Linked DNA regions of Sus scrofa. The protein of the gene in region 3 purifies or fractionates together with the protein of the main gene of each other region. This does not show direct contact. Links are inferred from orthologs where the notes say so. Each region holds a gene or a part of one and is shown on either strand. Other genes may lie near its edges.

Region 1 (3,586 bases), on a different chromosome or scaffold from region 3:
AAGGCGCCCCCTGGGGTCTCATGATGGGAGGACAGGGTCCTGGACATGGCGAGGCCCCATGCAGACCATGCCAGGAGCCGGGAATGAGTGCACCAGAAGGCAAGACCTTTGCTGTCGGTTTAATTTATTACTGTTTGACATCCAGTGACACTGACATACCCCTGCCGGGCCTGCGGACCCCAGGCCCCGGCGAGTCTGACCTGTCCAATAAAATACAGTACGAGGAGTGGACGGCTACACACATGCATCCACAGCTTAAACTACAGTGATTCCAAACTGTGGCCGAAAACAGTACTGCCAGGGAAGGAAAAGAAAAACAGGTGTTGTGTGTTCCCCAATTCATAATTTTTTTTCTTGTTTTAAACAGCTAATGCTGTTACAAACACTACTGATGCCAGGACAGGGCCAGACACAAACAGTCCTACATCTTCTCTGCCGTATAAATATGGAAGATTTTCGTTTATACAGTTTTATCTCAAGTCTGAAACTACATCTGCTGCTAGCCGTTACTGCTAAGGGCTAAGCCGGCTTGGCTCTGGTACGAGGGGCTTGGGGGCGAGACTCTGGAATGTCGGGACTCAGTCTTCCTCACTGCCACTTCCTGAGCGGTCCTGAAAGAGGGACAGGAAAGAGTAGGAGTCAGTCCTGCCCACAGGAGCAAGCCCCCCGACTGGGACCAATCCCGGCTTTAAACACACCCAGTCACCAACATAGGTGGTACAACTGCTTTCCCCAGTGAACGATACACACGAGCTCCATGAGGCTGTGGGTGCTGCCATGGCCAAATCCCAACATCATTTTTCTCCCAGGGGCTGCCCCAGTGCCCATACCCACTCCTCTTTGGGACCTGGGAAGCTTGCTGGGCCCTCCCAGCTCCGTACCATCGTGGTCTGTCTGTCCCTGTGCTCCTGACCTGTGGCTTTACAGCTACCTTGGCCATTCGTGACTACATAAGATCTTTGCTTTTCTGTCTGAACTTTTTTTTTTGGTCTTTTTGCTATTTCTTTGGGCCACTCCCACAGCATATGGAGATTCCCAGGCCAGGGGTCGAATCGGAGCTGTAGCCACCGGCCTACGCCAGAGCCACAGCAACGCAGGATCCGAGCCGCGTCTGCAACCTACACCACAGCTCACGGCAACGCCGGATTGTTAACCCACTGAGCAAGGGCAGGGACCGAACCTGCAACCTCATGGTTCCTAGTCGGATTCGTTAACCACTGCGCCACAACGGGAACTCCTCTGTCTGAACATTTTAAACAGCCTGGCGAGGGCCACAGAACACCCTGCTGGATCCTGACTGGGCAGATGAGGAGCTTTACAGCCAAGACACGCCTCTCCAGAAACAGGGCCACCCCTCTCCACGTTTACAATGTCATTAATGGCCCTATAAGACCATGTACATTGACAGTCAGATTTATCCTGGGGCACCTGGTTTTGCTGCTACTGCAGTTAGACAAGAAAAATAATGACAATGAAATGGTGCTTTGCTGGGAGCTAGGCCCTGGGTCGTCCCTGCTTCACAGCTGTGGAGACAGGCTCAGAAGTGAAGTGAATCGCCCAGGTCCCATGAACGGAAGGGCCAGGCACTGGGCTGCAGCTAGAAACAAAGCTTAGTTAAACCCAGTGAGTGAGTCTGCTCCTGCCGCTCACACCCATGAAACTGTCCATTGTGGGCTTGACGCTCCCGAAGCTCATCTTGGTGTGTGGGGACCACAGCCCAGGCCCAGGGGGTCCCCCACTGAGGAACCGCTCACAGCCCATGTTCAGTGTCTGCTCCGTTCTGTTTTTATGACTTTGGGTTACGGGTTTTTTGTTTTTTGTGTATGTTTTAACCCACTACCATTGTTTAGAAGTCCTTGTAGAGGCCAGGACAGAGCCACAAGCAGAGGCCTGGGCTGCATGGTTTGTGTCACATGCAGTGGTGACACTATGGCAGCCTTGGCTGTGGAGGGCCCTGTGCTGAGGGCGCTGGGGCCTGTCTGATGGCATCGCCATTCCCAGTGCCTCCCGTCCCCCCAACATGATAAAGACTGTCCCTGTCGGCCTTAGCATGGCAGCCCAGACATTCTGGGCAGCGGGAACCGGATGGATGACCTGCCTAAACCCCAGATGCCCACTGGCTCTAAGCGCACTGGTTTGAGGGTCACGTGGACCAGGGCTTGAGTCACATGGCATTTAGTATTGAGCCTCAGCTTCCTTACATGTGAGAAGCCGAGGCACCAGAGCATCTACCCTCACGGGACCACAGAATGGAGTCTGGCACCTGCATGGGCATGGATGTCCAGTAACCCGCCTGGCCTGGGTCCTGAGGGCCTTACCTCCTCCTGCTCCTCCTCACTGTCATCATCGCTCACCACCGGCTTGGCCCTGGACCCACGGCTCGGCCGCCGCCGGCCCCCCTTGAGCCGATCCTGGGCCTTCTCTTTCCGGCCAAGCTTGATCTTCACTTTGACCGAGCGAGCTGGGGTGGGACCAGAAGAAAGAAGATGTGAGCTCGGGAGAGGAGGGTCCCCCTGGAGCCGTGCAGATGGTGGAGGAATGGGGCCTCAGGTCCTCTCCCTCCAGTGCAGCTCCACCCACCCCCACCTGGGACTCACACTCCGACTCCGAGCCTTCCTCCTCGCCCTCCTCCTCCTCCTCGCTCTCCTCCCCTTCACTGTCATCCTCCTTCTCGATTTTCTGCCGCACACTGGTGAAGACCGACTGCAGGACAATGGAGTCTTCGTAGATCTGGGTGGAGATACACAGGGCTCATGTGCATGGCCCAATGCAAGGGAGCTGCCTGCCCACTTGGCCGTGGCAGAAAGACAGCTGGACAATCCTTTCCCAGCCCGAGCCCACCAGGATGAAAAGGTTCCAGGCAAAAGGTCAGGCATGTCATTCAGAAACAGCCATGGGTTCCTCCCTCCCTTGATGAATCGGTGAGCATCCTCTTAAAGGCTCTGAGAGGGTCTGCAGCAATGTGAGAAATGCATGCCTCTCGTTAAAGCCAGAGTTTTCCCCAATTTTATGACTAGCAAATCTCTTCCAGAAGGTACCCATCCCAACACTCAGGAGAACTCATAGTCTGGGCTCTGTGTGTGCACGTGGACTTAATCACAGGACAGGAGACAGTGCAGGCTTACTTTCAAGAGTCCCCTAGTGAATCCAAACAGATCCAAGATGTACATGGGCTGTTCTCAGGGTTCTCCTGCATGGACAGGACTGAGTCTGTTTCCACTATTTTTTGTTTTTATTTTTTGGCTGCACCCGCAGCATGTGGAAGTTCCTGGGCCAGGGACTGAACCCAGGCCACTGCAGTGACAACATTGGATCCTTAATCTGCTGCACTACCAGGGAACTCCTATTTCCTCTACCTTGCTTGTCTTTATCTCCTGCCTTTTTTTTTCAGTAATGAACACATATTGCTTCTGTAACGAGTGGGATACCCCAATTACAGGGCTGATTCACTGCGGGTGTGGCAGGGGTGCTGCTCACCAGAGACCCCTCCAGGTTGAAGGTCTGCGCATTCTGGCACAGCAGCATCACGTCCTTCTCCAGGTCGTTGAGACTGCGGTACTTGTGGTTGCGGATGCGCTCCTGTGGG
Region 2 (3,770 bases), on a different chromosome or scaffold from region 3:
CAGCTCTCTGGGGCGGAGGTCACTCCAGCTCAGCAGATAACGCTGAAGGTTGAGCAATGCCCGCCTGCCCGCCAGGGCCAGGGCTGGGGTCAGTGGGCTGGGGGTCAGACCAGGCAGGCTGGGAGCTCCTGCCTGGGCGGTCTGGACCAGGAGTGGCAGAGGGGTTGGCCCAAGGAGCTGCCCAAATGGCCTAGGAATGGTGCTGGAGCCCACTCAGCAGAGAGGGCCTCAGGCCTACCTTCAGATAGATCCAGGTGGGTCACCTTGTTTCCCCATCTCTGAACCAGGGGAGTAAGTGCATTGTCTCCACAGGGTGAAAATGCAAACTCTGGGGCCAGGTCCGCCCACATCACACAGTAGGTGCCTGGGAAAAACAGGGGAGTCCCTTCTCTCTGCATAGCCCCCACTGGGGCCTGGCAGAACTCCTTTCGCACAAGCCTCAGAAACAGGTGTTTTGGCCTTCTGGTGGCAAATAGGTCTGAGAGTGTAGGGACCAGGGCTTTTCTTTGAGAATAGTGGGGGACATGAGGCCATCTGACCTGGGGTGTGCTATGCCCCCTCTGGGCCTCTTTACACCCTGGGAGAGGCCCTTCTCTCTGCTGTGCATCTTAGAGCAGAAAGCCTTATGTTTGGGAGTCTGTGGTGGAGACAATAATACAACTAATAATAAGTTTTGAGACCTTCAAGGATTGAAGGTTAGCTAAGTGACCTGCGCAAGGTGACACAGTAATGTCAGAGCTTAGCACCTACACCCCCTTCTACACTTTGGGTGCCCAAGTGGGAGTGGGGTGGGGCTGGAGAATACCCGGGTGTGGTCTGAGGGGGCGGGCGGCTGTGCTGGGCAGGGCTAGGAGAGGGGCAAGGTCGGGCCCCTGGCAGATGCTCCAGTGGAGCTTGCTCCAGACTTGCACTCCCAAAGCCCCCAACCACAAGTCTTCGCATTTAGGAGAGAAGTCCCTATAGGCGTGAAATCCTCTCCTTCCAAAAGTTGGGGACGAGGGCAAGTTTAGGGGCGGGGCCGGGCCCTGGAAGGGCTTTGGAGATGGGCTACCTCTCCAATAGCCAGAGCAGGGGTTTGGGGTCTCCAGGATCCCGCCTGGGGCGCGTCCCCTCCTTAAGGAGTTGGGGCTGAGAGCCGCTGATCTTGAAGCCACGGCCTCCTCCAGCAGGGGGCGGGCCGCGGCCGCGTTTAGGGTGGGGGAAGGCGATGGCGTCGCCCCCTCCCCGGATTCCCCCCTCCCTTCTAGTACAGCCTCCAGCCCAGAGGGGGCGGTCCGGGGGCGGGTTCGCGCCTCTTCTCGCTTCCAATCCTGAGTCCGAAGGGTGGGGGTGGGCAGGGGGCGTGTGGCGGCCCCCGAAGCCGGAGGACCCCCCAAGGGCGCGCTCCAGATCTTCAGTCAGGTCACGGTGCCCCACCGCCGCCCTGCCGGGGGTCTCGGGCGGCCACAGCGTGTCCTCTGCGTGCCCGGGGAGGGGTTGGGGCGGCCGCCAGGCGTGACGCAGCCGTTGCCATGGCCCGCCTTATAAATAACCGGGCTCTGGAGAAACTTTAGCGAGTCAGAGCCGCGCACGGGACCGGGAAGGGGACCCACCCGAGGGTCCAGCTACCAGCCCCCGCACTAATAGCGGCCAATCCAGCGGAAAAAGCAACAGCAGCAGCAGCGACACAGCAGCGACAGTTCGGAGCCAGGAGGCCGCGCCACCTGCGGGCCGGCCGGAGCGGGCAGCCCCAGGCCCCCTCCCCGGGCACCCGCGTTCATGCAACGCCTGGTGGCCTGGGACCCAGCATGTCTCCCCCTGCCGCCGCCGCCTGCCTTTAAATCCATGGAAGTGGCCAACTTCTACTACGAGGCGGACTGCTTGGCTGCTGCGTACGGCGGCAAGGCGGCCCCCGCGGCGCCCCCCGCGGCCAGACCCGGGCCGCGCCCCCCCGCCGGCGAGCTGGGTAGCATCGGTGACCACGAGCGCGCCATCGACTTCAGCCCATACCTGGAGCCGCTGGGCGCGCCGCAGGCCCCGGCGCCGGCCACGGCCACCGACACCTTCGAGGCGGCTCCGCCCGCGCCCGCCCCCGCGCCCGCCTCCTCCGGGCAGCACCACGACTTCCTCTCCGATCTCTTCTCCGACGACTACGGGGGCAAGAACTGCAAGAAGGCGGCCGAATACGGCTACGTGAGCCTGGGGCGTCTGGGGGCCGCCAAGAACGCGCTGCACCCGGGCTGCTTCGCGCCCCTACACCCGCCGCCCCCGCCGCCGCCGCCGCAGCCGGCCGAGCTCAAGGCGGAGCCGGGCTTCGAGCCCGCGGACTGCAAGCGGAAGGAGGAGGCCGGAGCGCCGGGCGGCGGCGCCGCAGGCATGGCGGCTGGCTTCCCGTATGCGCTGCGCGCCTACCTCGGCTACCAGGCGGTGCCGAGCGGCAGCAGCGGGAGCCTGTCCACATCCTCGTCGTCCAGCCCGCCCGGCACGCCGAGCCCCGCCGACGCCAAGGCGCCCCCAGCCGCCTGCTACGCGGGGGCGGCGCCGGCGCCCTCGCAGGTCAAGAGTAAGACCAAGAAGACCGTGGATAAGCACAGCGACGAGTACAAGATCCGGCGTGAGCGCAACAACATCGCGGTGCGCAAGAGCCGCGACAAGGCCAAGATGCGCAACCTGGAGACGCAGCATAAGGTCCTGGAGCTCACGGCCGAGAACGAGCGGCTCCAGAAGAAGGTGGAGCAGCTGTCGCGCGAGCTCAGCACCCTGCGGAACTTGTTCAAGCAGCTGCCCGAGCCCCTGCTCGCCTCCTCCGGCCACTGCTAGCGCGGCCCCCGCGCGCGTCCCCCTGCCGGCCCGCCGGCCTCCGCGCTGCCGGGCGCGCCGCGGCCACAGTGACTCCGGGAAGCGCCCGCGCTCCCGCCCCCGCCCCCAGTGGCGCCGGCAAAACTTTGGCACTGGGGCACTTGGCAGCGCGGGGAGCTCGTCGGTAATTTTAATATTTTATTATATATATCTATATTTTTGTCCAAACCAACCGCACATGCAGATGAGGCGCCCGCCCGTGGTGTTATTTAAAGAAGAAATGTCTATGTGTACAGATGAATGATAAACTCTGCCTCTCCTCCTGCCCCCTCTCCAGGCGCCGGCGGGCGGGCCGGTTTCGAAGTTGATGCAATCGGTTTAAACATGGCTGAACGCGTGTGTACACGGGACTGACGCAACCCACGTGTAACTGTCAGCCGGGCCCTGAGTAATCGCTTAAAGATGTTCCTACGGGGTTGTTTCTGTTGCTGTTGTTTTTGTTTTTGTTGTTGTTTTTTTGGTCTTTTTTTGTATTATAAAAAATAATCTATTTCTATGAGAAAAGAGGCATCTGTATATTTGGGAATCTTTTCCGTTCGAGCATTAAGAACACTTTTAATAAACTTTTTTTTTTTTGAGAATGGTTAAAAAGCCTTTTGGGGGCAGTAGTTGATTTTTGATTTTTTTCCTTTTATTTTGGATTTATGATTTTATATTTGCTTTTCTGGTATGCAGGGGGGAGGTTGTTGTGTGTATGAGTTGCTCTTATTTTTGGCTTTTTAGGTGGTTGGGTGGGGGTGTTGCAGCTGCTTTTTCTCCTCTGATTCTCCCCCCAGGGCCTGTGCTTGGAGATGGGGGTACCAGGCCTGGGGTGGGGGAGGGGCAGAGGAGTGCTAGGTCAGGCTTTCAGGATGACTCAGTGCCCCTGGGTGCTGGGAGGAGTGTTTGGGAACCCTGCTTGGTGAGGGGGTCCAGGGTTTCTGGCTGGCCCT
Region 3 (4,229 bases):
TACCATGTGTGATCCATTAGTGGGCAATGGAGATTTCCAAGAGGGACTTTTCTAGGGTTCTAATAGCACATATTAGTGGGGGTGGGGGGGAACCATAACGGAAATGACATCACACTTAGGTGCAAATCAGAAAGCTTCCTTCTAATTTCTAAAACATTTAAATCCACTCTAGGCTTTGTTAGAGTGAAACTCCATTGTACTTCCTGCTTTTGATACAGGTTTTTCCTGTAATGTAGGGTAACTACAAATAATTCAAATTATGTTTTTTGTTTTGGTACATTTCTTATTTTTGTGATTTTGTGTGTGGTTGTGTCTTTTCTAGGGCTGCACCCTGGGCATATGGAGGTTTCCAGGGCAGGGGTCTAATTGGAGCTGTAGCTGCTGGCCTACATCACAGCTCACAGCAACACCGGATCCTTAACCCACTGAGCGAGGTCAGGGATCGAACCTGAAACCTTATGGTTCCTAATTGGATTCGTTAACCACTGAGCCACAAAGGGAACTCCGTTTTGGGGATTTTTAAGGGGACAAAATTTTTTTTTTTTAAATAAGCAGATTTAAGTTTCTTTTTTTTTGTCTTTTGAGGGCCGAACCAGCGGTGTATAGAGGTTCCCAGGCTAGGGGTCTATTTGGAACTGTAGCTGCCGGCCTACGCCACAGCCACAGCAACACCAGATCTGAGCTGCATCTGCGACCTACACCACAGCTCATAGCAACACCGGATCCTTAACCCTCTGAGCAAGGCCAGGGATCGAATCTGCAACCTCATGGTTCCTAGTCGGATTCGTTTCCACTGCGCCATGATGAGAACTCCTTAATGGGATAAAATTTTAACAGATTTTTTTCAAAGGCATTTAAATAACTATGTGACTTTTAACTCTCAAAATCAGTGACCTGAAGGAAAAGAATGTCACGTGGAACTCTCCATTGATAATACTGAATAGCTGGTACCCTAATGAGATATTTGTCAAAACTCTACTCTGTAGAACATTAGATTTCCTGATGGAAGAATTTTCACCTGGAATAAGGATTTTTATCTATTTTGAGAGAAAACAAGAATTGGAAAACATGATTTTCACAAGGCCACTGTAAAAAATCATTACAGTAGGTATGTTTCTTTTTCTTTACAAGGTTGTTCTACAAGCTGCTTTGTTAAAACTATCTCAAAACAAACATATGGTAACAATCACCTGACTTCTATATCTCTAGGACCAAGCAGGCACCTAGGAAGGCTCAGAGTCTTAGAGTTGATGAAAAGAATCAAAGCTGGAACCAAAACACAATATATTATCTAATCAAATGTACTGTACCATCTCTGATTCCTCTGCAACACTGCCAAGTCTTAAAAAAAAAAAAAAAAAAAAAAAGAGAAGGAGTTCCTGTCGTGGCGCAGTGGTTAACGAATCCAACTAGGAACTATGAGGTTGCGGGTTCGATCCCTGCCCTTGCTCAGTGGGTTAACGATCCAGCGTTGCCGTGAGCTGTGGTGTAGGTTGCAGACGTGGCTCGGATCCCGCGTTGCTGTGGCTCTGGCGTAGGCCGGTGGCTGCAGCTCTGATTCGACCCCTAGCCTGGGAACCTCCATATGCCGCGGGAGCGGCCCAAGAAATAGCAAAAAAAGACAAAAAATAAAAAAAAAAGCCTATTTTTCCTTCCAAATCTATTAATTTTTCTTCTTCATACTATTAAGAGATTGGCTGGGTCAACCTACCTTCCTTCACTATCTTTACAGTAGGGGCAGGTACATGCTTCCCGTCGGGTCCTCCGACCAGCTTGAGGTTGGGGATCTGGGCTGTTCTCTCCTTCCTCTCCACCTGCTGGGTCATCATGTATTCCATCACCACCAGCCCCATGGAGGCCAAGTTGAGCTCCATGATCACCTGAAATTAACAGAGTAAAGGGTCAAGGTGGGAAGTAGGGGAGGTCATCACAGCTGCAGGTATCTCAGCGACACTTCACTTTTACAGCATTATTTCTTCAAAGCTTTGAAGTCACATCCACTGACATTGCTCATAATTGAAATTTAAAGAACTGGCACTGAAGAGACAAAGAGCCAATAAGTATACGGAAAACATGTTCATTCTCACTCAAGTTTTCTTTTTTTCATGGCTATACCTGTGGCATATGGAAGTTCCTGGGTCAGGGATCAAATATGAGCTACAGCTGTGACCTACGCCACAGGATCGTTTAACCCACTGTGCGAGGTTGGGGATTGAACCTGGGCTTCCACAGCAGCCTGAGCTGCTGCTGTTGGATTCTCAACCTACTGCAGCACACAGCAGAAACTCCCTCACTTCATTTTTAAAAATTATTGTTAATTAATTAATTAATTAATTAATTTCCCTTTTTTTAGGGCTGCATCTGCAGCATGTGGAAGTTCCCGGGGTACGGGTCAAATTGGAGCTGCAGCTGCCACCTATGCCACAACCACAGCCACACTAGATCCAAAACACACCTGCAATCTACACTGTAGCTTACAGTAATGCCAGATGCTTAACCTACTGAGCAAGGCCAGGGATCGAACCCATGTCTCACAGATACCAGTTGGGTTCGTTATTGCTGAGCCATGATGGGAACTCCAATTAGTACCTTTTTAAAGGCCTATTTGGCAATAACATCACAAATTTAAATGCATATTTTCAAAGTAATTTCACTTTGAATTAGCAATGTCTTATGGATAGATTCCTAGGTCACACAAAGATATGTGAAAATGATGACAGTTTTACAAGAAAAAACTGGAAAAAATAAAAAATGTACACCATTGAGGAACTAGTTAAGTAAATTATGATAAACTTATGCAATGGACTACTATACATACATTAAGAGAATGAGATAAAGTTATGCACTATTCTCTTATTCAGGGAGTTCCCTAGTGGCCTAGTGGTTAAAGATTAGGCATTGTTAATGCTATGGCTTGGGTTCAATCCCTGGCCAGGAAGTTCCACATGTCATGGGCAGGGCCAAAAAAAAAATAAGAAAAAGACTTTAAGGGGAAAATTTTGGAAATGAGCACAAAATTGTGCAGACTATTCAGCAGGAAATAGTACGTGTGTAATATAAATTTAGACACAGGAGAAAAAGGAAAGATCTGAGGTCAAAGTTAATTCTTTTTTTGTCTTTTTAGGGCCACACCCATGGCATATGGAGACTCTCAGTCTAGGGGTCATACTGGAGTTGTAGCCTCTGGCCTACACCACAGCCACAGTAACGCCAGATCCGAGCTGAGTCTGCAACCTACACCACAGCTCAGGGCAGTACCAGATCCTTAACCCACTGAGTGAGGCCAGGGATTGAACCTGTGTGCTCATGGATACCAGTCAGATTCGTTTCCAATGAGCCACAATGGGAACTCCCAAGGTTAATTTTTTTTTTTTTTTTTGCTTTTTAGGGCTGCACCCTCAGCATATGGAGGTTCCCAGGCTAGGGGTCGAATCAGAGCTGGAGCTGCCAGCCTACACCAGGCCACAGCAATGCAGGTTCCAAGGCGAGTCTGTGACCTACACCACAGCTCACAGCAACGCGGGATCATTATCCCACTGAGCGAGGCCAAGGATCAAACCCCCAACCTCATGGTACCTAGTCAGATTCGTTTCTGCTGAGCCACAAAGAGAACTCCAGGGCAGTGTTTTTCAAACTTCATAAACTTGTAACCCACAGTAAAATACATTTGACATTGTAATCTAGTACATACACATAAAACTGAAACAAAGGTTTCATTAAAAAAAATGCATACCCTTACACTAAGCAGCATATATTGAAATTTTCTAGACTCCAGTGACAACGTCACATCCTTAACTGCTAGGCCATCAGGGAACTCCTAGACTCTACATTTTTTTCCCTTAATGCTGGTCATGACCCAGTATACTGACTTTATGAATTACTAATGGGTCACACTTGATATTTTCAAATAGCATTCTAGATAAAAAGATAAAAGCCATGTTTTCAAGGAATAGATAACATTTTCCTCAAGCTTTCAAATCTATCAACAGTATTTACAGTATTTTCAACAGTATTTACAACAGCTTTCAAATCTATCAACAGTATTCTAGACAAAAAGATAAAAGCCATGTTTTCAAAGAATGACAACATTCTCCTCAAGCTTTCAAATCTATCAACAGTATTTGCAAGGTGCAATGACTCTACTCATATTTAAGATTCCAGCAGTTCCCTGGTGGCTCAGTGGAAATGAATCTGACTAGGAACCATGCATGAGGCTTTGGGTTCAATCC
Region 4 (2,953 bases), on a different chromosome or scaffold from region 3:
ATCATTTAGGTTGGTGGAAACAAGCAAGTGAGACCTCAGCATGGTTTGCTTACGAGGACTTCCTGGAAGTTGCCATGTGTGTTCATGGATAAGCAATGCTAATGAACTTTGTGGCATCAAGCAACAAATCTATTAATTGTGCCAAGAAGATTCCTGCTTTGAGGGACCATGTCATCTAGTTGCTGGGGAGGCTGGCCTCCCCTAAACGGATAATTAGGCTTTGAGATTGGAAAAGTCAGAGCTTCCTGGGCAAAGTGGTCCCAAGAAGGAAGGCAGGAAGATGTACAGCAAAACTGCTTGAGACCAGAACATGGCCCTTCTCCCTCACTCATGTTTTGCTTTGCTTTTGTTTCCTTTTGCTATTGTTTCTGTGGTTTTGCTTTCCTAGAATGTCTTCTCTCCAACTCTCTACCTATCTCAAGTAAAACGCATCCTTTGAGGCCCACTTGAATGAATTTATGATCACTCAAGACTTTTCCAATCTTCTTAATCTTTACTTTGAACTCAGAGCACTTGGAGTCTGAACCATACATTTGGCACAGGATTATACTGTACATATTAATCTGTTTGTGAGAAAAATTAATCTTTTTTTCCCCCCTCAATTCAATAATAAGTTCTTTTTGGCAGGTGCCACATCTTATACCACTTGTGTTACAGCATCTAGCAGTTAATACCCTCCAGTGGGTATCTGTCTGTGCCTTGGTGTCCTGTTAGAGGGCTGCTGTTGGTGAGTGAAAATCTTGATTGGGGCTGGGGAAGAAGACTGAATTCTTGGTAAGCCTAGGGACATGGTCAACATTAGTCCATCCAGGTTAAGAAACACATGCTCTGAGTAGTTTTCAGTCCTGAAATTCCTCGCTTAGTTGTGATTTTTAAAACAGTTACAAGGTTCAGAAACATTGTAAATGGAGTAAAAAACTTGACTGAAAATGGAAATTGATCAGCAATCCCATTCACATTGTTTCACACTGTAAGAAAGAAAAAAGGAAAAATAAAGGAAGGAAGAGGGAGGAGATAAAAGGAAAAAAATACCTGGGGAGTGGTGATGGGAGACACAACAGACTCAGTCTTCAAAGACATCCAGCAAGTTCATGATGTGGTAATTTTTAATATTAAAAGTAAATTGTAAATGTATCTTTATAAACAATATGCATAAAATAGATCTATTATTCTAAAACCTTTTCTTTTTCAAACGCTTTTTCACAGTAATTTTTTTTAGGTGTCAGATTTTTTTTCCCCCAAAATAATAGTGCAATTGGAAGAAGGAGAATGTTGTCGGTGAACGTGGACTTCTTTGCTAGTACAAGTCCTTGTATATTTCCTGTAGGAGTGGGTGAAGGCTCATGTCCGTCTCTGTCTTCTTTATTACTTGCAGCAGCTGCACGTGCTCTGTCACAATCTGTCTGAGGTCTGTCATTTTCTGGAGCAGCTTAGCAAAGAGCTGGGAGGACTCTGGGTGGTTCAACTTGAGCTGCAGCTCCAAGGCTTGCAGCAAATTGTCTTGAATGTCCTCGATGGGCTTCACATTCAGCAAACCTGGGCGGTCTGGGGGAGCAGAAATGGAAGACAGAACAGGAGGTTTAGGTATAAAATTCTCTGGCCAATGACTTTTTGTTGGTTTTGTTTTGGTTCTAAAATAGGATGGGGGCAGGGGAGGTAAGCAGAGAGTTGGCAAGAACTGCATATAAGAAAAAAGGAATAAAACCCAAGACTATCAGAGCTTTTTCCAAGACCATTCTTTTCCCGTAGGACTAAATCTGTGTGACCAGATGACAGAACGTGGTGGCATGGCAATCACTTCCCAGATTGCAGATTCTTCTGCTGGCATTATTTCTACTCACTCAGAAATCTCATTTTTAACTTCTGCTCCTTCCTGATGAGTCTATGTTTTATAATCTTATTTTCTTACCACAACTTTCAACACACTTTCATTTTTTTTATAATGATTTTAATTTTTTCAATTCTAGCTGGTTTACAGTGTTGTGTCAATTTTCTACTGTACAGCAAGGTGACCTAGTCACACATACACATATACATTCTTTTTTCTCACATTATCATGCTCCATCGTAAGTGACTAGATAGAGTTCCCAGTGCTAAACAGCAGGATCAACACACTTTTAAAATAAACTTTGTCTTCTTTTTGCTTAACATAGCATATGCATTTTTCAAAGAGATGAGACATAGTTTTCAAATTCTGTTATACTTTTGGAAGGATAGACCAAGTTTTAACAGAGGCTTCTCTTTCGACAGGTGAGGATGCAGGTAGATTTCACTTTCTTCTTTATACTTTCCTTATTTGAACTTTTAAATGGTGAGCTTAGATTACTTTTAAATTTTTAATGTTTTTTCTTCATGGAGGTCTTTTTAGATTTCTTCTTAAATACTTTCCAGTATTCTTTATTTTTACTTGTTTCCTTTCTAGTATTCTATACTTCTTTTTCATTACATTTTCTAATGTATCCCTGCTGATGTTTAGAAAAAAGTTAGGTTTTATTATACTGAATCTATTCCAATTTCCTAAACTCTTCTCAAATCAAACAGTTTGTATCATGGGTTAAAAAAATTATTTTTTGGATAGACAATTATATCTGCAAATAATCATATTTTTATTATTTGTTTTGTTCATAAGTTTTATTTATTTCTTTTTTTCTAGTGTTTATAGTTCTCATTTCTTTTTTTTGCCATACTGCATTGGCTAATAATGCTAATACGGTAAATAGTAGCAGTACTGGGAAGCATTCTTATTTTATTCCTAAGCTTGAAGGAAATGCTTCTAATGGTTTACCACAAGTATGGTATTTACTAGAGTATGGTGGATATGTTTTTCTCCAGATTCTCCCAGAGTTTTAAAGGTTTTAATTTTAGTTAGGAATGTTGTTGCATTTCATCAAATGCTTTCAAGTTTTTCTACCTAAAATGTTGACCATATAGTTTTATCTTAAGCTAGTGTAGT
Region 5 (4,960 bases), on a different chromosome or scaffold from region 3:
TACCTCCCCTCACTCCCTTCCCTGGTCAGAGGACAGATTCCTTGCGTTTGAGGAAGACCCCAAGCTTCTTAGGGTATCTCCCATCTTTTCAGCCCTGTCCATCAACCTTTGGAATATTTTGGCCAGCACTTGGTGAGGGCCTGTGGGGTTGAGTAGTTGAGGTCATAGCCTTGCTCTGGGGAACCCTTTGAATTCTAATATATCATGTCAGCCTACATGTTGCTATTAAATGTCTTAAAAGTTTAGGCTGATTTCTCCTTACCCTCATCATGGTGGGATCATTCCTTCTTGGTTGCTCCACTAGGAAAGAGACCATCTGTGGGCCCCTCTCCTATCAAAATTCAACACTTTCTGGAATTTAGTTACATTTAGCTTATTACTTTGCATCTTTAACTTTTAGACGGGTTCAGAAAAACCATGATTTTATAGTTTATCTGTCTTGTTTTGTTTGTTAGGGTGAAAGTGATGGTCTCTTGTGATTTGCTACATCCTGTTTAGAAGTGGAACTCCTTCATGGAATACTTTCTGATATATAGTCTGGCAAATACCTGATAAAATTTATCTGACCTCACTCAGTTTGATTTTCTACAGTATTTCTCAGAGCTGCATTTCTAAATCTTTTCCATTCTTCTCAAATCTAAACTCTCTAGTTCTGCCCTCAGTGGTAAATGTTCTTATCTCTTACTTTGAGATTAAAGCTGTTGACATTAAATTTTAATTGAGGGACTTGGTAGAGAGAGTAGGAAGAATTTATGGTAGGTGCTTAGAAAACTAGGCAGATGAAAAACTGACATAATTAGCTCTGGAGAAAAAGAAAGAGATGTACAAAAAAGGAAACAGGATTATATAGTAGTTTACTACTAATCTCTTCAGGTATAAAACTACAGTTGGAAGATAATTATTTTCAGGGCTGGAGGAAAAGCAAGTGATTGTGGTGTAAATCTTCATTTTCAATAGGTATATTTAACTTGATACTTCAAGGGGGACCATTGCTTAGGTATAAATAGCAAGAGTAAAGGTTCAAAGATTTTAAAGAGTTGTACCTTGGTGTGGGGAGAAGAGCTTTATTTGACTTTATCCACTATGTGGGTTGTTACTTAGATAGAGAAAAAAATATTTTTAAAATGAAGCTTAATTAAAAGTCTTCTCAAAGTGAACCACATCTCTTCCTCACAGTCTCTCGTTACCTTTACTTCTGGTTGTTTACTTCACACTTGATGCCTTTCTCCTTTCCCCTTGTTATGACCTTAGACTTTACTTTATGATAGTTATGAAAGTTTAAAACTTCGGGGAGATTGGCCCTGTAAATTAAAAAAATGTATTTTTGTTAAGTGTCTTGAGAATAGACTGAAATTCTAAAAACATAAGGAAAACTTTGTTTTAGTGAAAATATTTTATTGCTACTATTAAAAGGTAAAAATATAGTAGTATGGGTAGTGATTAATGGTCCAGTGTTGATAAAGATAAAAAAATTTTCTGTCTTGCAAAATTGTTCTCTTGGCCCACTTATCATTGTCTTGTTTTTAGAAGGATTTGTTTCCACAGTTCATTTAAATTCGTGAAGACTTGTCATGGGTGAAAAAGATAACTTCTGAAAGTCTGTTCTGAAAGTAATAATTTGAATTTCTTATCTCATTTTGTAATTTGCTTTTGCTCCTGTGTTGAAAGCAGTAGTTGATGGTAAAGTTAGCCTCTCAACTGTCCTTTCCATATCTTTTCTAGGTTAGATTAAGGAGGATATTTTCTTAGTGTGGACCGCTGCCTTTGGTAAGAACATGTCGTCCATCTTGCCATTCACTCCGCCAGTTGTGAAGAGACTGCTGGGATGGAAGAAGTCAGCTGGTGGATCTGGAGGAGCAGGTGGAGGAGAGCAGAATGGACAGGAAGAGAAGTGGTGTGAGAAAGCAGTTAAAAGTTTGGTGAAGAAGCTAAAGAAAACAGGACGATTAGATGAGCTTGAGAAAGCCATCACCACTCAAAATTGTAATACTAAATGTGTTACCATACCAAGGTAAGTGTGGTTAGGTCAGAAACTTGATGGCCATCCTGTTGAAAATTGCTTAAAGGAATCTGCAGGAAAGTTACTGAAATTTTGTTACATGCAATTCACCTGTCAATAGTGATTATTAAAATATGAAATCTATTTCTAACCTGTCATATTAATTTTGTTGGACACGATAAGACTTGTTTATTTTATAAATCCTTTTCTTGAACAGCGAGAAAGTTTAATCAAGCAAAATAAAATACTTAGATTTTACTAAGGTTTATCTTCACTGTCTTCATTTGCCTTCATTGCCTAAATGCTTCATTGTATGTTATCCTAATTTTTGTGATTGAGTGACATTTGAATAAAGATTCAAAGATTTTTGTATCACTAGTGCAGTAGTGACTGACAGTTTCCTGCTCCTCTGGTCAAAACTTCAGTAAGGAGTTAACAGAGGCTGCTAACATTGTGACGAGTTATGGCTTTTGTTTGAGTTGCAGCATTATTTCTAAGAAAGAACAGTATATGAGGCAGCTTCTTAGGTGCCATAGTCAGATCCTGTCTTGAAGACCTGCCTCGTATAAGAGAAGGACCTGTTACCTAAGAGGTTGAAGTTTTATTAGTATAAATTTAATCATTTACAGATCATTACCACTGTCAGAAATTCTGGTTTTTCAAATAGCATAACGAGTAGTTTTTAAGTGTTGTAGTGTACACTACTGTAGTTGTGCACATTGCAGGGTTATGGGGAGTGTGAGTTTATAGCATTTTCTAAAATGATTGTTTGCAGTGCCATACACATAGGCTAGCATATGGCACATGAAACCATTCTACTTGACATGTTTCTAATGAGTTTTGGGAAATAACTCTGGATGCTTGTGATAATAGCTCCCAGTGACACCAGCCTTTCTTTCTTGCAGATACTAACTAGAATGTTTCCTGCCTTGTTTTGTTTGGTAATAAAACAAAATTACCGATTACTTTCCATTTCTTTTACCTTGTTTCATGTATTTCTTTTTTTTTTTTAACTTTTATTTTTATTTTTTTGCTTTTTAGGGCCACACCCATGGCATATAGAGGTTCCCAGGCTAGGGATCGAATTGAAGCTGTAGCCACTGGCCTGTGTCACAGCCACAGCAACGCCGGATCTGAGCCGCATCTGCAACCTACACCACAGCTCACAGCAATGCTGGATCCTTAACCCACTGAGCGAGGTCAGGGATCAAAACTATATCCTCATGGATGCTAGTCAGATTCGTTTCCACTGAGCCACAATGGGAACTCCTTGTTTCAGGTATTTCTTAAGTAAGGGTCACTTTTCTTGGTTTATTCTTTTGTTTTAGAAATGCTTATGGATGCCTTCCGTGTGAAAGGCACTGGTTTTAGGCATATGGGACACAGCATGGATGAAATGCGGAGTTCCTGCCCTCCTGAGGGACAGATACACACTGTAAACAAGTGGACAAATTAATGTAATTTGAGATGGTAATGAGGACAAAAGACAGTGACTGAAGGATTAAAAAGCTGCTTTGGATTGGATTGTGACACTTAAGCTAAACTTGGAGAAGTAGCAGGTAGCTGAAGGAAGTCTTCTAGGCAGAGGAAGGGGCAAGCATACAGACGCCAGGGTGGGACATAGCTTGTCGTATTGGAGACTTAATGGATCGAAGTAGAGATGCAGTAACACCAAATGAGCACAAGGCTTGGGAGGAGTCAGATTAGATGGGGCATCAGGAGGCGGTTTGGATTTTAGTCCCAGTACAATAGGAAGCAAATGAAGATTTTTAAAGTGGATTTTTAAATTTAAGTAAATTTTAGAAGAAATTTTTATCTTTATATCTTAGATCACTCTGGCTGCTGGAGACAAGAGGGTGTGGATAGTGGAGTGTGTGGGCATGTGTGTTATAGACTGGTGTGGTATAGTGGTGTGGACGCAGAGGAATGAGGCGACTGTTAAAGTAATCCAGAATGGAGATGCCAGAGGCTAGGCTGGGCTGGCGAGGTGGTGGTAACTCGGGAAGTGGATGAATCTGGTTGGAAGCTGAACTGACAGGATTTGCTAATGAATTGGCTAGGAATAAGTCAGGCCATATTTGTTGATTTTTCATTGTATAGTGTCTGATGTTTCAGTTCAGTAAACATTTAGAAACATAAAAGTCTTTGCTCTTGAGTTGCTTACTTTCTAGAAAGGAAGATAAACTTTAAAAAAGAAGAAAGATAATTTCATAACATCCAGGGGTTGTTCTGAAAGATGTATGCTTAGGGACCTATGTCCAAAGAGGGGGAGCCTTCCCTACTCCATGCTGTGTGGAAAGTTTCCTGCTGGAGAAAGATTGATGCCTGGGTTGAGTGGATGTCAAGGAGGACTTTTCAGGAGAAGCTGAATCCCTCCAGAGAGGCTCTGTGGTATTGAGGGTGGCAGTTGGCCAGAACTGGTGAAGGGTGTCCTGGGAGTTGGAGGTGGCATATGGCAGGAGCGAGAGGCTGTGTGGGTGTGAGGAGCCCCCACATCCTGCACTTAGGGGTTCACCCTGAACCCCAGCGTGGTTGGGTGAGAGTGGAGTCCTCGGTGTTAGGTAAAGAAGACTCCTGAGTTGGGTTAGTTTACATACAGCATCTGACTGCAGTGAGGAAATGGTTGTGAGCCTGTCAAGAGTAGAGGCAGGGAGACTGGTTAGTATGTGGTCTCCCTCCTCAAAGGGTGTCATGTGATTCCTGGGGGACATGGAGCCGTGTTTTTGCACAGCTTCATCTAAGACTCCAGCTGCCAGTGCAGTGAGGTCATTGAAGGAACAGGGCTGAGGGTATAACCATGCAGTCCTGTCTTTTAAGAAGATGCAGTAGGCAGCCACCTCATGACGTGGATATTTGTGGATGTGGATATTTAAACTGTGGAAGTCACCTTAGTCAAAATTCTTTTCCTTATTTTTCCATTATTCATTTTACAGTCTATTTTTTAGAGGTTTTTTTTTAAAT
Region 6 (4,756 bases), on a different chromosome or scaffold from region 3:
AGGAGTTCCTGTCGTGGCGAAGTTGTTAACGAATCTGACTAGGAACCATGAGGTTGCGGGTTGGATCCCTGGCCTCGCTCAGTGGGTTAAGGATCTGGCGTTGCCGTGAGCTGTGGTGTAGGTCACAGACATGGCTCGGATCTGGCATTGCCGTGGCTGTGGCATAGGCCAGCAGCTGTGGCTCTGATTCGACCCCTAGCCTGGGAACCTCCATATGCCTTTTCTAGGTGTGGCCCTAGAAAAGACAAAAAATAAAATAAAACGCATCAGGCCAAAATATCCCTCAGAAACTGACACCCCCATCTCCTCTCTGTACACAGGATATACTGAGGACAGGGTCCTGCAATGAGGGTCCCCTGTCCCCCAGATCCGGCCTGGTCTCCTCCACCAGCCCTTCCCTGGTGTTTGATTCTGCCTCCTAGGCCACAGAATGGTGCTTGCTGAACAGGGGAGCAAAGCAGGACCTGAGAGGAGAGGCTCTGAGTAGGCTCCAGGGGAGAGTATGAGAACGTAGTCATTGTCACTCAAGAGTGAACAGGCTGAGAACAAGAGGTGACAGGCTGCAGTCAGACAAAACAAGGGTGAGTAGGATCAGCTGGTGGGTCAAGGGTCTGGCTCCCCTGAACAGACCCCTGAACAGGAGGGGTGGGGCACCCTCCAACCCTCTCCCACACCTGCCCCACCTAGGGCAGCCCCTGCCATCTGCCCATGCAAGGCACCATCTGCTGCCAGTCAAAGCTGGTGGTGGTGGCAGCAAAGCAAGTGGGGCAGTATCAGCCTAAGTGCTCTAGGGATGCAGACTATGCCTGGGGGAGCTCAAGGTCTAGTCCATATCTGGTCTTGAGGGATGAACGAAAGGAAGAGGCCCTAGCAGGCCCAGGCAGGGGGAGGGAAGGAGAGTGAGAGGCAGTGTGATCGAAGGAGGGAGCAGGGCTGGTCCTGGCAGGGTTACAACAGGGCAAGGGGGCTGGGTGTGGCAGAAGCTGCCTGGCAGGGCAGGCAGGCGGTAGCAGCTGGGCTGGGAGGCTCGCTTCCCCCATTGCCTTCCCAGACGGAAGCAAGTTAAGGAGGCCTCAGGGGTTTCACAACCCAGGAAATGGGCTCAGCAAGAAGAGGAGGAGGTGGGGGAGGGGAAGGGATAGCAAGACCCTTCTAAGGCCCTTTTCCCAGGGTCCCAGCCCCCATGTCCTGGGAGGAGAACCAACCATGGTCTCAGGTCATGGCCAAGTCCCAGAGGAGGGGATGTTTCCCACACCTGCTCCCCTCCTAGGACTAGCACTTATCTCCCAGCCAATACTCCTCCCTACTCCCCCACCCCACATAGACCAACCACTGCCTGGGCTCTCTTCCCCTTCTCCAAGGACCCTTTCTACCTGTCACCAGAACCTCCCCCCTCAGTCTTCTCACAGCTGGAATCTCCAGGGCTCCCACTGCCCTAGGAGGAGCCCATACTTCAGCTTAGCCCTGGCTTGCTCGCCACCTCAAATCTTACCCTTGGCTACTCTGTGAGCACACGCCTCACTTTCAACCCCCCTACTTTTGCACAGGCAGAATGTCCCCTTGAACTCTTACATATCTTTACAGATTGCTCTAAGGTCCAGCCCGTCCTCCATTTGCCCGGAAGCCAGCTGCCCCTCTATCTCACATGCCCCCAGCAGGTACCCTGTGCAGGTGTCCAGGATCACACTCACACAGAGGACCTGGGTGTGTCTGCCTGTAGCTCAGCCTTCTCAGCTCTGGCCACACATCTGACTGTCCTGGGGACATTCAAACATTCCACTGCTGCCGATCTGGCCCACTGGAATCTGATGAGAATCAGAGGTGAGGCCCAGGCAGCACAACTGAACCTTTTGTAATTGTCATACCCTCAGAACCAATGAAAAAACCTGGCCTTTCCCCCAGGAAAACCCATGCCTGTGGCGGCCCGCTTCTGCACATGATAGGGTGGGGGCTGTATGTCTTGAAGGCCTAGCCTGGCCCCAGGTCAACCCCAGGCCTCCTTTGGCCCTGCTAACAGGCACTCACAGTGACAAGACACCAGGCCCTTGGAACACACAAACTGACAGGGGACAGTAAAATAAATGTGTAATTACAGAGGGGGACATGACCACTGCTCAGGCAGCAAGAGGGGCTGGGATGGAATGACGGCCAGGGGGGGCCTGTCAGTGGGTGTCAGGGGAGCATGTCAGGAAGGGCTTCAATCTGAGAGATGCCCAGGGGTGCCATAGGCCCACCTGGCCAGAGGTTCTGGAAGGATCTGAGGGGTAGGTCATGAGACCCTGTCATTGGCTCATGCTTACCCCTGCCAGCATGTGAGGGGTACAGGACCTCCTTGGGGGCACAGTCCACACCAGGCACAGGCCTGAGTCACTCAGCCGGCTCTAGGATTAGGGAAGCCATGGGCTCAGGCAGGGGAGGGCTCCAGGTACCCCTGAGGGAGGAACAAAAGCCCCTTCATGCAAGACAGAGGACAAGGGGGCCTCTGTGAGGAGCTGGGGTGAGGGGTACGTCAGGGTCTTGCCCAGAATAACCACATGTTTGTGCACACACAGGCACACCCACCGACCCAAACCCACAGTGACATGTGGGGAGCCCTGCTTGCAAATGGATACACACACATGCACACACAAAACTCTGTAACCATAGGCACTACATACCCCTATGACATCTCAATAATACACACGCTAAGAAACACACCACCACTCACCAGCTCTGTTGACAGACAGCGAGGCCCACACAGATGACACAGGACATCTACACCTTCATGCACAGCCAGATGTGTTTACCCAGAGTGCCACGAGCACATAACGTACACATGGGCACGGACGCTCCAGGCAGGCAAAGAGAGAGACTCACAAGGCTGGAAGAACCCACATGTGCCTGATGAAGTTCTGGCACCAGAAAGCCCAAATGTAGCTTTTTCTCCTGCAGCCCCTGGGGCACAGTGGCTGGGGACAGCGGAGGGAAGGGCAGCTGGGCACCAGGCAGGCTGGGCCTCTCCACTGAAGGAGGCAGGGAAAGCCCCTCCTGGCCCAGGGCAAAGTCCAAAGCATGTAAGGGAAGGAGTGGGCTGGTCAGGCTCATCACCAGGTGCCACCCCTGCTTCTGAGGGGAAGTCAGCGGAGGCTGAGGATGAGGCCAGGGGTCACAGGTGCAGCCACAGGCCTGGGGCACAGGAGGAGGGGAGGGTGCAGGTGCAGCAGCCAGGCAGGCACCCCACACAAGACCTCCACAGAGCTCAAGTCTCAGTGGGCAGAACCCAACAAAGACAGAGGCTATAAATCACCCAAAGCCACAAAGCCAAAGGAGCAGCTCTGAAAGAGGTGGGGGAGGAGAGGGACTCCCGGTTCTAGCCTCAGAACTGTCCATTTGGCCTCCAGTGGGAGACACAGGCATGTGCTTGGGGAAGGGACTGGCTCCTCCACCATCCCCCACAGAGAGGGGTCTCCAGTCCATGCCTCAGCCCCCCACCTCTGCACCTCCTCCTAGAGTCCCCATGATTTTCCTGACTGTGGACAACAGCCTTTGCATTTGGGAGAAGATGAGACAGCCATTTAAGGCTTTTGTCATCCATCCCCACAAGGTAAGCAGGGCCAGCATGATGCTCCCATTGGAGGGATTAGGAGAAAGCTGGAGAGAGGCAGGACTGAAGTGTGCCATCCCATGGCAAGCACTGAACAGAGGAACTGGAGAGCAGGAGTTGGGTGTGGGCTGAACAGGTCTAGTTCAGGTCTGGTCTGCCCCGGGTGCCCTGAGAGCTTGGCCAAAGCACTCTGGCGTCATCTCTGAAAGGAGCGATCTTGCCCTGCTTAGGAGGAGGTGCTGAGTGCAGGACCTGGTACCATCATCCTTATCATTGCTGTCATCTTCACACCAGGCCCTCTCCCCATCTGCCCCACTGCCCATTTCCAGCTGTTCTATAGCCAGAGGGGCCCCCAAACCTCCTTGGATCAGTGCGTAAAACGGCTCTCTCTCTGAGGTGCCCTGGGGGCACTGGGGGTCGTTTTCACCCTCCCCCTTCCTCCCCACTCAGCAATGTTATCACTTCTGCCTCCTGCCTATCCTTAAGTCCTCTCTTCTCTGCTCTGGGAAGAGACTGGGCTGGGCAAAGGCAGCTGAGTCCACTAGCAGACCCCAGGTCAGCGACTGTTTCTCTCAGGGCCTCACGTTCCCTCTCTTGACAATGAGACCTTTCTCCAGGCCTGACACTGAAAGACCCTGCAATTCTCTTCCTATCTCCCCTGGCCCCATACCTCAGCCCCCAAGCCTACACCAAGTGGACACTGATTCCAGCCTCAGGCCTTGGCGACTGGCTATTCCACTGCACCTGTTTACTCAACATAGCCATAGACATGATCCAAAGCTTCCGAGTCTGTTGTGAAAACAACAGCTCAGCCACCACAAGCCTGTTCTCCTGGGCACCTTGGCAGGGACCTTCGAGGGAGAGCCATCCCAGCCTTGTACCCAGGGCCTTTCGGAGTTCCCCACCAAAGGCTGAACCCTCTTCTCCCCAGTCCAGGCTTTATGTGCTACCTCTCAACTCTCAGGTCTCCACTTTTAGCCCAGACCTCCCTAAATTCCAGGCTCATGGACCCACCTGCCTCCCCAGCCTCACCACGCTCTGGAGGTGCTCAAATATGACCAAACCAAAGCTACTGACATTTGCCAGGGAAGTGCCCCTTGTCTACTAGCAGCACCAGCACTCAGGCCAGACACCTGGGGGTCATTTCCACCCTCCCCCTTCCTCCCCACTCAG
Region 7 (4,229 bases), on a different chromosome or scaffold from region 3:
GGTACCTTGAGAAACCTGCATGCGGTTCACAGGCAGGGGCATGGGCCCATCTGCAAGGGCAGAAAAAACAGCATTACAGAAAATCATCTTGCAAACTTACAGAGAAAGCCAGTCAACAGGGGCAAGAGCACCGAGCAGCCTGACGCTGGCACACCCTTTCGAGGCCCATCCACCAGGGGGACTCAACTTCTAAACACAGGCCATGGCCTCGGCCATGCCACGGCCACCCCCACAATTTTCTAAGCACAGGCTTCCTGGGAACATGATTCCACATGCTCAGAAATCATCCCAGATGCAGAAGGAGAAGCGGGGAGGCAGACGGAGAGCCAGAAAGGCAGTCCTTACTTGGCGGTCTCACGGGCTGGGCCTGTGGTATGCCAGGGGGCTGCGTCCCAGGGGCTGGTAAGGCGGGCTGGTTCCCCAAGATGCCTTGTTTGTGTAAACGTGACCTCCGTTTTTCTTCTAGTTCCTTTTGTATCTTGTAGATTTTCTCTGCTAATAAGTGATAGTACTCATCCTGAAAAGCAAACCTCCACACTAGTTACTCGTTACAAAGAAGCTCTGCGCGCGTGCGTGTGTTCTGACCAACTGACGATCGTTTCAATTGAGCACACTGGCGCAGGTGAGCATGAGCACCCAGGGATGGGACAGCATGTATGAGGCAGCAGGGACGAGGTACTCATCACAGGTGAGTCCACAGCTGAACCTCTTCTTGGATTCGCGCCGGCAATGACACAGGACAAGCACTGTAACCAAGGCCGCCACCAAGTAAATGCACAGATAAAAACGACTTCATCAGAGTTCCTGCCATGGCATACCAGGAGGGTGGCGTCTCTGCAGCGCCAGAACTGGCACAGTGGGTCAAAGGATCCAGTGTTGCCACGGCTGCGGCTTAGGTCGCAACTGTGGCTCAGATCTGATCCCTGCCCTGGGAATTCCCTGTGCCATGGGTGGAGCCAAACCAACCAACCAACCAAGGACAGAAAAGAAAAAAGAAAAAGCAGTTTTATCTATTGCAGGGGAGACATCAGTAGTCGGTAGTTACAAGACAAGAGCTGTGCAGGGAGGGACCTCATGTCTTAACTGAGAAGACTCCCCGGTCAGTGTCCTCAAGTGACGCGTCTCCCAGACGAACAGACGTCCCTGTTTCTGGACAGGTGCAGCCGCGGCTCCCACAGGTGCCGGGACCCAAAGGCAACCTACCCTGCTGTTGGCAGACTCGTACATGTCCCCTTCCACCTTCTTCGCATAGGCCACCAGGTTCTCCATGCGGCGATCCTTCAGGGCTGCGGGGTCAGGGGTCGGGAAGATGGCTTGGACGCTGAAAGGACAATGGGGTCAGTTTCTACCATTCTGAGCGGCATGGAAAGAGAACCAACCAACCGCCTCTGTGGCAGTACACTGCCAAGCGACATCCCCAAATTCCTCTTGCCCGGTATATGAAGACATCAGTGAGGTCACTCTGGAGAGAATCCTGACCTGTTAACTTCTCTACACGTCAAACACACCAGTATCTTACTATTAACAGTAAGTACTTCATCATCTCAAGAATAACATGATTTCGGGGTTCCCGTTGTGGCGCAGCGGAAGTGAATCCAACTAGGAACCTTGAGGTTGCAGGTTTGAGCCCTGGCCTCGCTCAGTGGGTTAAGGATCTGGCGTTGCCGTGAGCTGTGATATAGGCCAGATCCTGTGTTGCTGTGGCTTTGGTGTAGGCCGGTGGCTACAGCTCTGATTAGACCCCTAGCCTGGGAACCTCCATATACCCCGGGAGCAGTGACAAAAAACCAAAAAAGATTTTGAATTCCTAATATTTAAACGATTTATTAGCAATTTTTTTTTCTGTCTTTAAGGGCCACACCTGTGGCATATGGTGGTCCCCCCCCTTTTTCTAACCCAAAATTTTTTGATGAAATTAATGAAGGAAAAAAACCCCTCCAATGCCAGTCGATTAATCTCCCCTTCAATTTAACTTAACTAGCTGGAGAAAGTTAGCTGTTAATTTCTTGTATGTTACATGCATGACAGCATTATCAAACCATTTGTACTGACGAAGCCCAAATTCCTCCAGTTCTCTGGGGTCTCCTCAACTGTGATCTTGAGCCACAAAATAAAGCAATGCTTCTGAGCTAATTCCAGCTCCCTGGTGCAGCCGGGGCATAGAAAACAGGTCTGGCCCTCTGCGGGGCAGAGCTGCAGACGCTCTGACACCACCCAGGGTCTGTGGGATCCTCCGGCCCCTCAACAGGCACGTGGTTCCCTTTGGCTGCCAGGGTACGATCACCAGGGGCCCAGGAGACCACGAAGGAACCGAAGCAGACATCAACGCAACCGCTCAACTGCCCCATCACCTCGGCCTCAGAATGTCTCCATCCCACGTGAACGACGCGGGAGGTGGCCACGTACAGTTTGTGTACTAGATGGCTGCGCAGGTCCTGAGTGACGTGTTCGTGCCAGCCTTTCCGAACGCCAGTGCTGGAAGGAGGTGCTGCGGAGGGTAGAGTGCTGAGGGGTCCGATGTTCCCAGAGGTGGCGCCGTCGCTCATCAGGGGGCTGAGGGAAGAAGGGCTCTCAGCCGACCAGGCCCTTCAACCACATGTGGCTTTCAACGTCACTACCTCTTCTACAGGCAAGACGGAAAGGACGGGAGGACGGGGGGACGGGGGGTGGGGGAAGCAGGGAACAGAGGGAGACGGGAGACGGCCCCTCCCTGGCCCCAACTATAGCCCCTGCCCCACATTTAGAAAGACTCAAGAGTTCACACACTTGCATGTCTGACTGTCGCTCAGATAGGAGGCAACTGAAACAAATGTCTTACTTGGTGGCCCCAAGGGAAGTTGGAAGAGCTGATTCTGAAATCAAGCTTGGTGGCTGCTGATCTGTTGTTATTCCGCCTGCTGGAATGTTCATTGGGTTATTTCCTTTAAAGAGAAAAAGAAAAGAAATCAACACACTCCTAAATTCTCATATACACATCAAAGTCCCGATAACATAAATAATAAGTCACATATAAATAAGTGATTCTTTTTTCGTCTTTTGTCTTTTTAAGGCCACACCCGTAGCATATGGAAGTTCCCAGGCTAAGGGTCTAATCGGCGCTATAGCTGCCGGCCTACACCACAGCTCACGGCAACACCGGATCCTGAACCCACTGAGCGAGGCCAGGGATCGAACCCACAACCTCATGGTTCCTAGTCGGATTCGTTTCCGATGCGCCATGACAGGAACTCTTTGTTTTTTTAAGTAAGTGATTCTTATGAGTTTTAATAATAAACCCCATGGCAGGAATTCTGGGAGTTCCAGAAAAATGGCGATTGAATTGTTAACCTCACAGGCAGATCCCTTCCCACGACACTTTACAGCTAAAACGAGGCATTGTTATGGAGGCTAGCTGGTCTCATGAGTACTCTATGACTGTGGAAAAAGAAATTAGAAATGACCCATTTGTAGCTTCACATTTTGATTCTGGCTTCATTAATATCATGATTGAAACAAGTAAACTGACCTCTTACATATTTCTGTCATATTTTGGGTTTTGTTTGCATATCAGAAAATAAAATCATAGAGATTAAGTGCAGGCAAAGAACATAAAAGGTCGATTTGTCTACAATATCCACCGTGAAGGAAGAGGAAGTTGAGACAAAGCGAGGTGCACAGTCTAGTCCCGATCAGGCCATCAGCAGAGGTGGGGTCAGACTGGTACCCAGGTTCCGGGACTCCAACCCAGTCGCCCAGTTAGCAAGAGTAAGTGATGCATGAGGGCAACTGTTTTCCAAAAAGCAACAATGAGTTGTTTTCAAACTGGTCATTTTTAAGAGTCACTTTTAAGGTTAAAATAGTTTTAGGAAAAGAAGGAAACTAGCACAACAACTCTGACTTAATTTGACTGACATAACTGCCTGGCTTAAGCCCAAGCTGAAAAGAAAGGACTTTGTCAATTTAAAGAAAATATTAAGAAAACAGTCTGTCAGAGTTCCCACTGTGGCTCAGCGGAAACAATCTGACTAGCATCCATGAGGACGCAGGTTCGATCCCTGGCCTTGTGCAATGGGTTAAGGATCTGGTGTTGCCGTGAGCTGTGGTGTAGGTCACAGTCGTGGCTTGGATCTGGCGTTGCTGAGGCTGTGGTGTAGGCCAGGGTCTACAGCTCTGATTTGACTCCTAGCCTGGGAACCTCCGCATGCTGGGGATGCAGGCCTAAAAAGAAAAAAGACAAAAAAAAAAAAAAA

The links.
Region 1: the proteins of SP1 (region 3) and SMARCA4 purify together in Homo sapiens (affinity purification with western blotting; 3 studies listed by BioGRID and IntAct, with this or other methods). This does not show direct contact. The link is inferred for Sus scrofa from reciprocal best matches to the Homo sapiens genes SP1 and SMARCA4.
Region 2: the proteins of SP1 (region 3) and CEBPB purify together in Homo sapiens (affinity purification with western blotting; 4 studies listed by BioGRID, with this or other methods). This does not show direct contact. The link is inferred for Sus scrofa from reciprocal best matches to the Homo sapiens genes SP1 and CEBPB.
Region 4: the proteins of SP1 (region 3) and PPARG purify together in Homo sapiens (affinity purification with western blotting; 3 studies listed by BioGRID). This does not show direct contact. The link is inferred for Sus scrofa from reciprocal best matches to the Homo sapiens genes SP1 and PPARG.
Region 5: the proteins of SP1 (region 3) and SMAD2 purify together in Homo sapiens (affinity purification with western blotting; 3 studies listed by BioGRID). This does not show direct contact. The link is inferred for Sus scrofa from reciprocal best matches to the Homo sapiens genes SP1 and SMAD2.
Region 6: the proteins of SP1 (region 3) and PRKCD purify together in Homo sapiens (affinity purification with western blotting; 3 studies listed by BioGRID, with this or other methods). This does not show direct contact. The link is inferred for Sus scrofa from reciprocal best matches to the Homo sapiens genes SP1 and PRKCD.
Region 7: the proteins of SP1 (region 3) and CREBBP purify together in Homo sapiens (affinity purification with western blotting; 5 studies listed by BioGRID, with this or other methods). This does not show direct contact. The link is inferred for Sus scrofa from reciprocal best matches to the Homo sapiens genes SP1 and CREBBP.

Annotation. Positions count from the first base shown.
Region 1 is NC_010444.4:69,806,823-69,810,408, reverse strand, and holds the end of SMARCA4 (transcription activator BRG1), read right to left. Parts: intron 3,580-3,586; coding exon 3,478-3,579; intron 2,731-3,477; coding exon 2,344-2,730; coding exon of another isoform or gene 2,319-2,343; 3' UTR 990-2,318; downstream 1-989. UniProt on the Homo sapiens protein: ATPase involved in transcriptional activation and repression of select genes by chromatin remodeling (alteration of DNA-nucleosome topology).
Region 2 is NC_010459.5:51,720,875-51,724,644, forward strand, and holds CEBPB (CCAAT/enhancer-binding protein beta), read left to right. Parts: upstream 1-1,758; coding exon 1,759-2,799; downstream 2,800-3,770. UniProt on the Homo sapiens protein: Important transcription factor regulating the expression of genes involved in immune and inflammatory responses. Also plays a significant role in adipogenesis, as well as in the gluconeogenic pathway, liver regeneration, and hematopoiesis.
Region 3 is NC_010447.5:18,622,921-18,627,149, reverse strand, and holds part of SP1 (transcription factor Sp1), read right to left. Parts: intron 1,881-4,229; coding exon 1,712-1,880; intron 1-1,711. UniProt on the Homo sapiens protein: Transcription factor that can activate or repress transcription in response to physiological and pathological stimuli.
Region 4 is NC_010455.5:68,432,083-68,435,035, reverse strand, and holds the end of PPARG (peroxisome proliferator-activated receptor gamma), read right to left. Parts: intron 1,546-2,953; coding exon 1,298-1,545; 3' UTR 1,089-1,297; downstream 1-1,088. UniProt on the Homo sapiens protein: Nuclear receptor that binds peroxisome proliferators such as hypolipidemic drugs and fatty acids.
Region 5 is NC_010443.5:97,481,038-97,485,997, reverse strand, and holds the start of SMAD2 (mothers against decapentaplegic homolog 2), read left to right. Parts: upstream 1-1,774; 5' UTR 1,775-1,775; coding exon 1,776-2,011; intron 2,012-4,960. UniProt on the Homo sapiens protein: Receptor-regulated SMAD (R-SMAD) that is an intracellular signal transducer and transcriptional modulator activated by TGF-beta (transforming growth factor) and activin type 1 receptor kinases.
Region 6 is NC_010455.5:35,298,460-35,303,215, reverse strand, and holds the start of PRKCD (protein kinase C delta type), read right to left. Parts: upstream 3,038-4,756; 5' UTR 2,755-3,037; coding exon 2,708-2,754; intron 1-2,707.
Region 7 is NC_010445.4:38,481,872-38,486,100, reverse strand, and holds part of CREBBP (CREB-binding protein), read right to left. Parts: intron 2,922-4,229; coding exon 2,819-2,921; intron 2,554-2,818; coding exon 2,407-2,553; intron 1,322-2,406; coding exon 1,204-1,321; intron 518-1,203; coding exon 346-517; intron 51-345; coding exon 6-50; intron 1-5. UniProt on the Homo sapiens protein: Acetylates histones, giving a specific tag for transcriptional activation. Mediates acetylation of histone H3 at 'Lys-18' and 'Lys-27' (H3K18ac and H3K27ac, respectively).